2 linked regions of the Nothobranchius furzeri genome follow. The protein of the gene in region 2 binds, or shares a complex with, the protein of the main gene of each other region. Links are inferred from orthologs where the notes say so. Each region holds a gene or a part of one and is shown on either strand. Other genes may lie near its edges.

Region 1 (4,993 bases), on a different chromosome or scaffold from region 2:
GAACTGCTCTGAAATGGAGGCTTCTTTTGGAAAGGTGCAAAATATATGTGAAGGTACAGTGAGCCTCTGATCTCTCTGTAAGTTTCTTTCAAAACAAGTCACGTGTTTCTAAAATCACACAATGTGTTGTAGATCGTTCCTTCTACTAAGATGAAGAGCGGGATCAGAGGGGCGATCCTGTCCTGCTCGCTGGCGGATCCGGGAGAGGTGAAGCAGCACATGTCGGCTCTGCTGCAGCATGTTTAATCAGCAGATGTTCAGCACATCTGTTCCTGTCAGCCTGGGTCATCACAGTTCTGTTTGGCTCAGATGGTGCTCGGAGGATGTGGGTTTTGTGTATTAACGATAATTTATGTATCCACAATATTTATTTATTTAACTTAATGTATTTATTCATGTTATTAAAGTGTTTGATAAATGTTAAAATAAACATCTGTTTAAAAGCAGTGTGCTGATAATATCCTGTGAGATCATGTTTACTCTTCTGTTGCATTAATGTCAATAATCAGCCAGTGAGTTAAAAAGATTGTTTTCTAATTAAAACCTTAAAACATTTCAATTAGTGGGTTTATTCTACTTTAAACAATTCGTATTCAGTGGAGGATTGAAGCTGCTAATTTTAAGAATAAATAAGCTTATGAAGGCAAAATAGTAGTTATTAAATGTAAAACCACTATATGTAGGTTTATTATGAGACAATAAAAAATTACAGAATATTTATATATGAAATAAAGACAAATTCAATAGACAACAAGAGGGGTAATGTTACTATTAAAGAGTACAAATGGTAGTATAAGCATCAATAATTGCATGAATTAACTTTTGTATTGATTCAGTCATGTGTACTTTTATATGCATTGATTTTAAAACGACTGGTGAAAACATGAGTTCACATATCAGTGGCTTACTTCAGATGTGTGAGCGGGTGTTGCGCTGGGCGTCTGCTTATTAAATATTTTCAGTCATATTTAAAAACAAGTAATCAAATGTTTATTTTATTGCATAACATAACTTAAAAGTCTATGCATCAAATAGGTCAAATAAATATATTTAGATAACATTTTTACCAGCATGAGTTTGTAGTTTCTAATCAAACATGTCAGATATCAAACTTAATTATTAGTTATTGACCAATAAATACTCAACAGCGTCTAATAAACAGACATTCATACATGGGAATTATTTTTCAAAAGGTAAACATTTCTGTTTTAACAGGAAAACCATTTAGATTTGTTTGGATCTCACAAATTTGTAACCTTTTCATATAATTTAAATAAAAGAAAACAAATGCAGCAAAAGTAACAACTACAGAATAGAGAAACAGTTCTTTTATACGGGTTGTTCTTTATCTGAATAAACGTTTAATTTAATTACCGTACTTATAATCTGTCATTTGTTTTGATTAATGGCCACATATGTAATGAATTTTTATGTTTAGCTAGGTCAGCTGGATGAAAAAACGAGAACTGAGTCTAGCTTTCGAGAGTAAGGGATCGCCCTCTTCTGGAGACAAGTGGTTGAAGATAAAACCACTTAAAATTACTACGATTATTGAATTAGCGTAGTTTGTCTAGATGACTGGAAAGCCATATCATCTTTACATATGCAGACTACTTAACTTTTAATTATTTGTGTTGAACACGATAAAATAAACAAGCTGAAGCGGTTAACTGCAGCTCTATAAACATCAGATCGTGCGGCCTCAGGGCGAAACTAAACCCACGGTAGACTTAGAGGTATTTTATTCTTAATAAATGCAATATATTTATTATTAACATGACGTAAATCCAGACAGTTCGTCCTGTTAATTTCTAATTCACCAGTAAGTGGCGGTAATGCACTCATCAACACGGAACGTTTGTAACGGAACTCTGGTTTCTGGAGGACGCTTTTAACCAAGACGCGTTTTTTCCTGAATCGACGGCAGAGGGTAATGTAAACAAAATGCTGTTTATCAAATATCGCTGTTTTACTGTAAGGTGAGAGGTGTTGTCGCAGAAAACGGTTTAATCTCGAAAGTGTTAAACTTCGACCTTGGTTAGCTTGTTGAGCTAAGACTAGCTTCTGTTAAGCTGTGATTTTCATCCCTTTTAGTAAAGGTCAGAATGCTAATTTTCATTATCTTAGTGTAGCATTGACGGTTCTGACAACCAGACTGCTGTGGAAACATGAATGTGAACCAGGGGACGGTGGGCAGCGACCCGGTTATTCTGGCCACGGCGGGATATGACCACACTGTCCGCTTCTGGCAGGCCCACAGTGGGATCTGCACCAGGACGGTCCAGCACCAGGACTCGGTACTTGTGCTTGAGCTAACGATTGTCGTATTTGTTTTTAAAGAAACCCTTTACAGAAACAGAATGCAATAATTAGACATATAATAAAAGTTTATTTTCTTGACATTTTCCCCCAGCAAGTCAATTCCCTGGAGGTGACGCCTGACAGAAGTATGATTGCAGCTGCAGGTTGGTTCATGCATGCATCAATAGAGCTTCACGTTGTGTGTTTCTCTACTTACAGTACCCCATATTTATAAAATATAAATTGTTTTGTAAAGCTTATCCGCCTTCAGAATCTACCTGCGATGGGTTCAGTTGGTTGGACAGGATTTGAAAAGGACCTCATTGGCTCTAGTTGTTGTTGAATGCTTCAGCAAAATACTGAGCGAAGAATGGGACTAGTTTATGGGATTTGGTGGCATTTGCAAAAAACAAAATCAGACTAGGGCCTGCACGACTTTATTTTTTTTAAAGTCGACAGTCAAGTAATGAAAGTCAAGTCGACTTCGACTAGTCGTTGATGACGTCATACGCCGGAAGTGGCGGGGGGGGGGGGGGTCGGTCGATAGATTCGCTGGAGTTTTTGACAATTAAAATTGCGCCCACATTTTCTAAGTTAACACATCTCTTTTAACAACGGTAGTTTCTGCATCCTACTTCAGTCCTCTCCCCCCTCCCCCTGCGCAGCAGCCGCAATCTCACTGATGCGCCTGCAGCCTTTCCTGCTGCTCTAAACATTCAAATAATGATTTCATTTTCTGTTCCTCACTTCTGATTACATTCAGTGGTGTCTGTTTGTTGCAACCACCAGGTACAAAAACTAACTTGTTTTTATTTGACTATTTTTCTGTCCTGTCTTTATTATCTTCCTGCATCTCCTCTCAGTCCTAAAGAAAACCTGCTACCTGGGTTCATATATATTCACCTTATGAGTTACCTTTGAACTGCAGTTCTAAAAGATCTACCGACCGCAAAAACAGCGGAGTGCCGCTGCTCGCCGGCCAACTACAACGGGACCGTTTTTGCTGCGGAGTTCGTGCCAGAGCGGAGTGGAGAGATAGTGGAATCTTGGGGGTGCGTCACCGGAGGACAACAGGTGATGCGCATCGCTCCGCAGCAGCGAAATGCATCAGGCACAAATAACAGACAGAAAACATGAAAGGAAATGAGCCGACATGAACGATCGCGTGTTTAATTTGTTTTTGAGGTGGTGACACCTGATTTGGCGGTGCTCAGGACGCAATGTCTGGAGCGCGTCAACGATCAGAGCTTTGCATGCGCAAACTGGTTAAGATTAGGATGGGGGTGAGGGGAAGGTTAAATTGCAAGAGGGAAAAGGTCACAGTTTGGTTAAATGTCCGTTTTACCGCCGGTGTCAGTACCGCACAGCGCGTCGCCTCCGCCTCGATCCAGACGCGCAGGGGCTCATCACCTGCTGTCTTTTCCGAGGACTGCATCTTGTCAGTCATTATGACGTGACAGCGACTAGTTGATGACAGGCATAAAAAGTCACTACAGAGCCGTGAAGTCGACTAGTCGACTATTTCGTACAACCCCTAAATCAGACAGGTTCTTTAAGAAAAGCAAATAATTGAACCAGTAAAACGTTAAACGCTTTGGATTTATCTCACAGGTAATGTGCATTCTGTTTCAAAGGTTACCAGCACATCCGCATGTACGACCTGAACTCCAACAACCCAAACCCCGTCATCAACTACGACGGCGTCAGCAAGAACATCACTTCTGTGGGCTTCCATGAAGACGGGCGCTGGATGTACACGGGAGGAGAGGACTGCATGGCTCGCATATGGGACCTGAGGTCAGTGTAGCAGGACTTACTGAAAACCCGTGAGCTCCAACTTAAAATAAACCCTGCTTCTTGTTTAGGTCCAGAAACCTGCAGTGTCAGAGGATCTTTCAAGTAAACGCTCCCATTAATTGTGTGTGCCTGCATCCCAACCAGGTTAGCCATGCTGCGTTTGTCTCTGGGATCTTAGTCTTTTAGTTTAAAGTGACAGTGTTTCCAAATGCTCTAACTGTTGTGTGTTTTCCAGGCTGAGTTGATAGTCGGAGACCAGAGTGGAGTGATTCATATTTGGGATCTGAAAACAGACCACAACGAACAGCTGATTCCAGAACCAGAAGTCTCGGTTAACTCTGTTCATATTGACCCAGATGCCAGTTACATGGCAGCAGTCAACAGTTCGGTCAGTCTGCAAATGAGAATATCGGCCATGCTGGGTAATTTAAAAAAGACAAAAGCAAACCGGTTCTTTTTTGTGCTCAACAGGGAAACTGTTATGTGTGGAACCTGGCTGGAGGGATGGGAGATGAAGTGACTCAGCTCATTCCAAAAACAAAGATCCCAGCACACAAACGCTACTCCCTGCGCTGCAAGTTCAGCCCAGATTCCACGTGAGCGGTTTCTCCCCAAACCACGACACATTCAGAAACCCTTTTCTGCGTGAGCTGCAGCTGCATTTTTGTGTTCACCTCTAGACTGCTGGCCACCTGCTCAGCAGATCAGACCTGTAAGATCTGGAGAACGTCCAATTTCTCTCTGATGACAGAGCTGAGCATCAAGAGCAACAATCCAGGAGAGACGTCCCGGGGTTGGATGTGGGACTGTGCGTTCTCTGGAGACTCCCAGTACATCGTTACAGGTCTGTTTGCCGTAGAGGACGGGGTGTAAACGACATTCTGGGTTCATTTGG
Region 2 (5,027 bases):
GTCTGTGTTTCAGTTCAATGAAAAGACAAGTTTGAAATTTAAGAGTTTTAATTCTTCAATTTAAACTAACGATTTGAAATGACAATCATAGGAAACAATCAACATTGGCAACCTTGTTGGACAATCTTTAACTGTTGATATTTTAAGCTTGCACAAATAGACCTTGTGTTGGATGTGCTAAAATTGAGGATATTAATTATGAATGCGTGCATGCAGGTGTCTGAGATTGCTTCAGGGAGAGAAAAGGTGATCTGAGTGAAAAATTATGTTTTGAATTAAACTTTAGTTTTTATTAGGAAAAACAGCATCAAAACGTTATCTATCGTGTTCTGCCTCACCGTACTCAGGACCCCCTTTAGATCCGGACCCCGGAGGATGTGTTATCCAGAAGACACCTGGGCTGGCAGAGAAGACGAAGATGTGTGGCAGCCCAGTCCCGGGTTGACCTCGGTACACGTTGCTGAAGCGTTCGGCAGATGCGCTTTCTCAAGTTTAAATTAACTCAGAAATCAAAGACTCTGGGACGAGTCTGCGTAAGCTGGTTGCACTTCAGCTATTCTGTCTGGCTTGACAGAAATAGCGTGGGGGGGGGGGGGGGGGCAGGGCTCCTTTCCCCGTGGTGTTCGTTCCACACTTCTTCTCTCTTTCGTTCTCTGAGGCCTGGAGGACAGCAAGACCCCTGCACTGCTGTCTCCCAGGCTACTGATGGCACAGCCTTCTTCAGTAATTTAGGCAGGCTGGATGCCTAAAAGGCTCATTGCTGCCACATCAGCCAACACACTAAGCCAGCAAACCCCACCGCACACAACATGCACATCGACCACCCCCACCCCGTGTGTTATTAATATTAATTTTTATATATTACCAGTCCTGATTTTTTCAATATATTTACTTACAACTGTACCATGTTCAGTGCTTTGGGCTTCCTGACAGGGTTGCGGAAGGCACTTTATAAATAAAGCTTTGATTGATTGATTGAACTGCATTGGTATCGGTTCCTGGTATTGGTTAACTTTCACTGATACCGGTATCGGCCTGCTGCCGGTGCATCCTTAAGGTACATGTATATACACATAGGCATCTAGTGTTGTAACCTTCGACCACTAAAACCATGAATAAAAAATTAAAAAATTTGGGTTCCAAAACTATGCAGCATTCTGCAAGAGACACAGACATGCAATGGAAATCCAGTATTGCACGAGTATTGAACACATAATGAATATTGCAGTGTTATTGTGTAACAGGATAATGCCAGTAAAACTTAAACTAATGAGTTAAAGTTTGACTTGCAGAGAGCCTCAAAGGTAGGAGAAGCCAACTCTTAAAGTTTTTGCTTGACTTTAAAAAAGGCTTAAGTGTCAAAGCCGTGGTTGTTGTGTCAGAGTGGTTTGTGTCATCAAAAAGAGGATCTCTGAGGTTTCATTTGATGTGAGTAGTCCTGCTCGGTTTGTATTTTTTATTACAAATTTGTACTGGAAAAATAAATGAATGAATGATGAACAAATGAATAAATGAACGAATAAATACATTTATGTTTTACAAAGTATTGGTGTTACACTTGGAAATTTCGGTCTTGCCATCACATAAAATAAATCCTAGATGTTTCTTTCAGGAAATTGTGAAGACATGGCTGTGTAATACATCGGCAACCCATCGACAGAAAACAAAAATAAGTTTTAAAAAGGCACGTTGATGGTGTTAAAACAAAAAGTGCATTGAAAGTAGATATTTTATTCTGAAAATCTTTACCCGGAAGTAAAAATGGATTTACCATGGGTGAGCAGTGCACTGAGCACTACAGATTAAAACGGGCTTCCAGATAGTGTTGTGATTTTACAATATTTAAAATAGTAAAGTAGTGTTTTCTTTTGAGTTTATTTTTCATGGAGAAGAAGACTTGTGTTGTGAACACTTTTCTTTCTCATCGAGGCCTTTCATGAAGCTCCTTGTTTTGACTGCAGTGAGAGCGGCTAACTACCCTGACTCTGATTCCAGGTTAGGTCCAGTGTTCTCTCAAACACCACAGCTGATTTTCGTCTTACTCATTTGAAGTGACACGGCCTGGGTGTAAATTGCAAAGATTGCTGCTACATTTAGCTGTCGACGGAAGGCTTAGCTACTTCTGAGTTTTACGCTAATGTTGAAGGTTAGAAGAGCTGGGAGGCTAACTCTAGCTGAGCCTGAATGTTCAGCCTGGATATTTTAAACGTTTGTACAAACGTAATGAACAAGCCTTTAACGTAAAATAAAGTCATAACAAAACTATTTACGAACTGTTTTGGGTAAAGTGAAAACTCGACACTGAAAATTGTCACCTGTCGATGTTAGCAATAGCTAAAGTTGTTCCTGGAACTGACTTTCAGATGTGACCGTTGCTAACCAAGTTTGGTTTTTTTCGTTAGTGTAAGGTTAAAACAGCAGGGCCGAGCTCAAATCGTGGCGGTGGCATCCAGCCACGCAACAGCCACCATAGACATTGGCCTTGTTTGAGATGAGCAGCGCCTCGCCTGGAAAACAGATAGAAGCAGACGGACGCAGCAGCTAGAAGTTGCGTTGATATGTGTCTCCCCCCCGAGATCTGTTTCTTTGGCACTCAGCAGCGAGTTTGAATCATCCACTCGCAAAAAAATGTGTCCTAACCCTTACCCTAACCATAACCCTGAAACAAGCATAAAAATTGTGCTACACATAATATTTATAATATATATATTTATGCAAAACATACATTTTTGGTGCCAGGGTGGTTATGGTTATGGTTAGGGTAAGGGTTAGGGTGAGGGTTATTTCTTGTGTTTGGTTTGTTTCCATTTGCAGCTGGGTGCAAAAGAAGCAGAAATAGAGGGGGGAACACATATCAACGTAACAGCGGCGTAGGTTGACAGTTTTCCCAACATTAAAATTCTGGTGCCTGTTAGCAACTGAAACACGTTCTCACATAATTGTGGATATCACATTGTAGACACGTGCAAATGGAGATATGACTATAATAACAAGTAAAGTTGTCAACTGTAGATTTTTATTGTGCTTATAGGAAATGTGACAAAAGAAAACAATTGACATTTCTCTTTATGGCCTGTATAGTTGTCTTCGTCAGCATACTATGATTTGCGGAATACATATGAGTGGCTTCTGCAAATCTCGTGATTTCTGTCTGTTATGGGATGTGACTATGTTCACCCTGCTAATGGTGTTTATCTGTTCAATTTAACAACATGGTCGTTCAGTGTCAACAAAAGAAACTGATGTTTCTGACTAGATTATGAACAATATTCAGATAAGCTGAGTGTGAAACCTATTTTGTTTTTGTTGTATTCTCTGTTTATGTCCATCCATAGCAGCCCGGTGTGCCCAGTAACAAACTGTCATCTCAGTGAAACTGCAAGAATTCAGCTCAGTTTATATATTTATGAGAAATTAGAGCTTCTCATCATAACTACTACACTCTTCTTCCTGCAGCGCTGGGATTAAAGTATCTTTGAATTGATGTATCACAATGCAAACTATTCAAAACACTAATATAAACAAAATATTTTATTAATATTAATTTTTATGTATTACCAGTCCTGATTCTTAATTTTATCCTGCTTTGTGGATTAAGTTTTTCATTCTGAACAGGTAGTGGGACTTGTCTAATGGAGTTGAAGGAGAAGTAAGGAGAACAAGAGGGAAGAGATGATTCCTCTCTGCGTATCATCAGTTGCTGCTTCAACATTGCTGAATAAAAACTGAAGAGAGAGCCTCATTCAGCAGAGAGTGAAGCTGTTTGTAAAGCACTAGAAATGGCTTTCTTGGACAATCCGGCCATCATTCTAGCCCACATCAGACAGTCCCACGTGACCAGCGATGATACGGGAATGTGTGAGATGGTATTAATAGACCAGGATGTGGATCTGGAGAAGTGCCAGCTCACTCTGGTGCCTGGCAGCAGCTGTGGATCTTCTGGTTCAAACTCTCTCAGTGAAAACAGCAGTGGCATGGTGGACGGTCATACGTGCGAGCTGTCTCAGTCCATGGACATCACCTCCAGCTGGGACTTTGGCATTCGTCGGCGCTCCAACACAGGTGAGCTCGTGTCCAGGCTCTGGCGTGTTTGTAGGTGTACAGTTCCTCAGAGGTTTGGAGGGGTCTAATCTGGACTAATGTGGGTTTGGTTTGTTTTGTTTAAGGAAATCATGTTATCAAAACATGTTGCTGCTGCTACAAGAATCATGATTGTCGATGTGAATTTAATTGATTGTTTTGTGGGATGTGTGGGTGTGAGGCAGGTAGAACCGTGTTTGTGTGTGTGTTCGTGTGCCCTTTGCTTCTTTTCATTTGAGGCTCCAGAACTGAGACTTGACATATCCCCTTATAAAATGTACAACACATTAGCATTACCACTATCATCATGACGTTTCTGATTGTTCAGTATGACATCACAACCTCCCTGTGTTGGTGAAGGCAACTGGACTTACTTGCTTCTTGAAGGCGTTTTGCTTCTTACCAGAGGAGCTTTGTCAATTCTGACTGGACTATGGGAGGGTCAAGCTCATAGGCCAGTGGTACTCATTAGGCGGGCTGGGTCTGTGGTTGTAGTTATAGCCACTGTTCTATGAGCATAGCAGTTGACTTCTATGACCACAGCTACTGTGCTACGGGCAGAGCACCGCACAGCCCCGGTGAACCAGTTTGAAGTACACTAAAGACATTCATTAAACATCAAATATGAAGAAAGTTTCAAATATGAACACATTTTGTAGTCATTGTACTTATAAACTGCCAAAACAATCCTTCTCAGTTAAGTGTTAACCTATCGCAAAACCTTTAAAGTAAAGGAGTCTGTCTGGGCAGTGGGTGCTGTCACAGCAATTCATAGCTATGGCCATTGACTCTTCTCGTAGCTACAGGATAGCAGTCACAGCCATTTGTGGCTACTGGCGCGCCCTCGTGGCTGTGGCTACAATTGGAGCTCGGCCCTACTGCCTGTGTGGCCAACTGCCAAAGGACCCCAACAGACCGTTTTATTAATTTTTTTATGTTTTGAGTTT

What was found. Proteins that work in one complex are often made in the same cells at the same time.
Region 1: the proteins of mapkap1 (region 2) and mlst8 are in contact, whole or in part, in a cryo-EM structure (PDB 7PE8), measured with the Homo sapiens proteins. The link is inferred for Nothobranchius furzeri from reciprocal best matches to the Homo sapiens genes MAPKAP1 and MLST8. Residues at the interface, in NP_001006618.1 of Homo sapiens: Lys102, Cys103, Lys104, Asn105, Ile106, Gln107, Trp108, Lys109, Arg111, Asn112, Ser113, Lys121, Leu123, Phe124, Glu125, Lys126, Lys127, Ser128, Leu129, Gly137, Lys138, Gln139, Ser140, Ile141, Leu142, Val144, Arg145, Leu146; in NP_001186102.1 of Homo sapiens: Ala29, His30, Pro77, Ile78, Ile79, Ser80, Tyr81, Asp82, Gly83, Arg98, Arg110, Ile111, Trp112, Gln120, Cys121, Gln122, Arg123, Ile124, Asn139, Gln140, Ala141, Leu157, Lys158, Ile203, Glu206, Ser279, Gly280, Asp281, Gln283, Asp322.

The regions. Positions count from the first base shown.
Region 1 is NC_091756.1:30,073,521-30,078,513, forward strand, and holds the start of mlst8 (target of rapamycin complex subunit lst8), read left to right. Parts: upstream 1-1,836; 5' UTR 1,837-1,930; intron 1,931-1,936; exon of another isoform or gene 1,937-2,132; 5' UTR 2,133-2,168; coding exon 2,169-2,297; intron 2,298-2,413; coding exon 2,414-2,465; intron 2,466-3,239; exon of another isoform or gene 3,240-3,375; intron 3,376-3,935; coding exon 3,936-4,098; intron 4,099-4,166; coding exon 4,167-4,242; intron 4,243-4,333; coding exon 4,334-4,486; intron 4,487-4,569; coding exon 4,570-4,694; intron 4,695-4,778; coding exon 4,779-4,942; intron 4,943-4,993. Other genes in the region: meiob (meiosis-specific with OB domain-containing protein), read left to right, coding at 1-53, 133-246.
Region 2 is NC_091746.1:36,982,503-36,987,529, forward strand, and holds the start of mapkap1 (target of rapamycin complex 2 subunit MAPKAP1), read left to right. Parts: upstream 1-1,780; 5' UTR 1,781-1,995; intron 1,996-3,615; 5' UTR 3,616-3,779; coding exon 3,780-4,062; intron 4,063-5,027. UniProt on the Homo sapiens protein: Component of the mechanistic target of rapamycin complex 2 (mTORC2), which transduces signals from growth factors to pathways involved in proliferation, cytoskeletal organization, lipogenesis and anabolic output.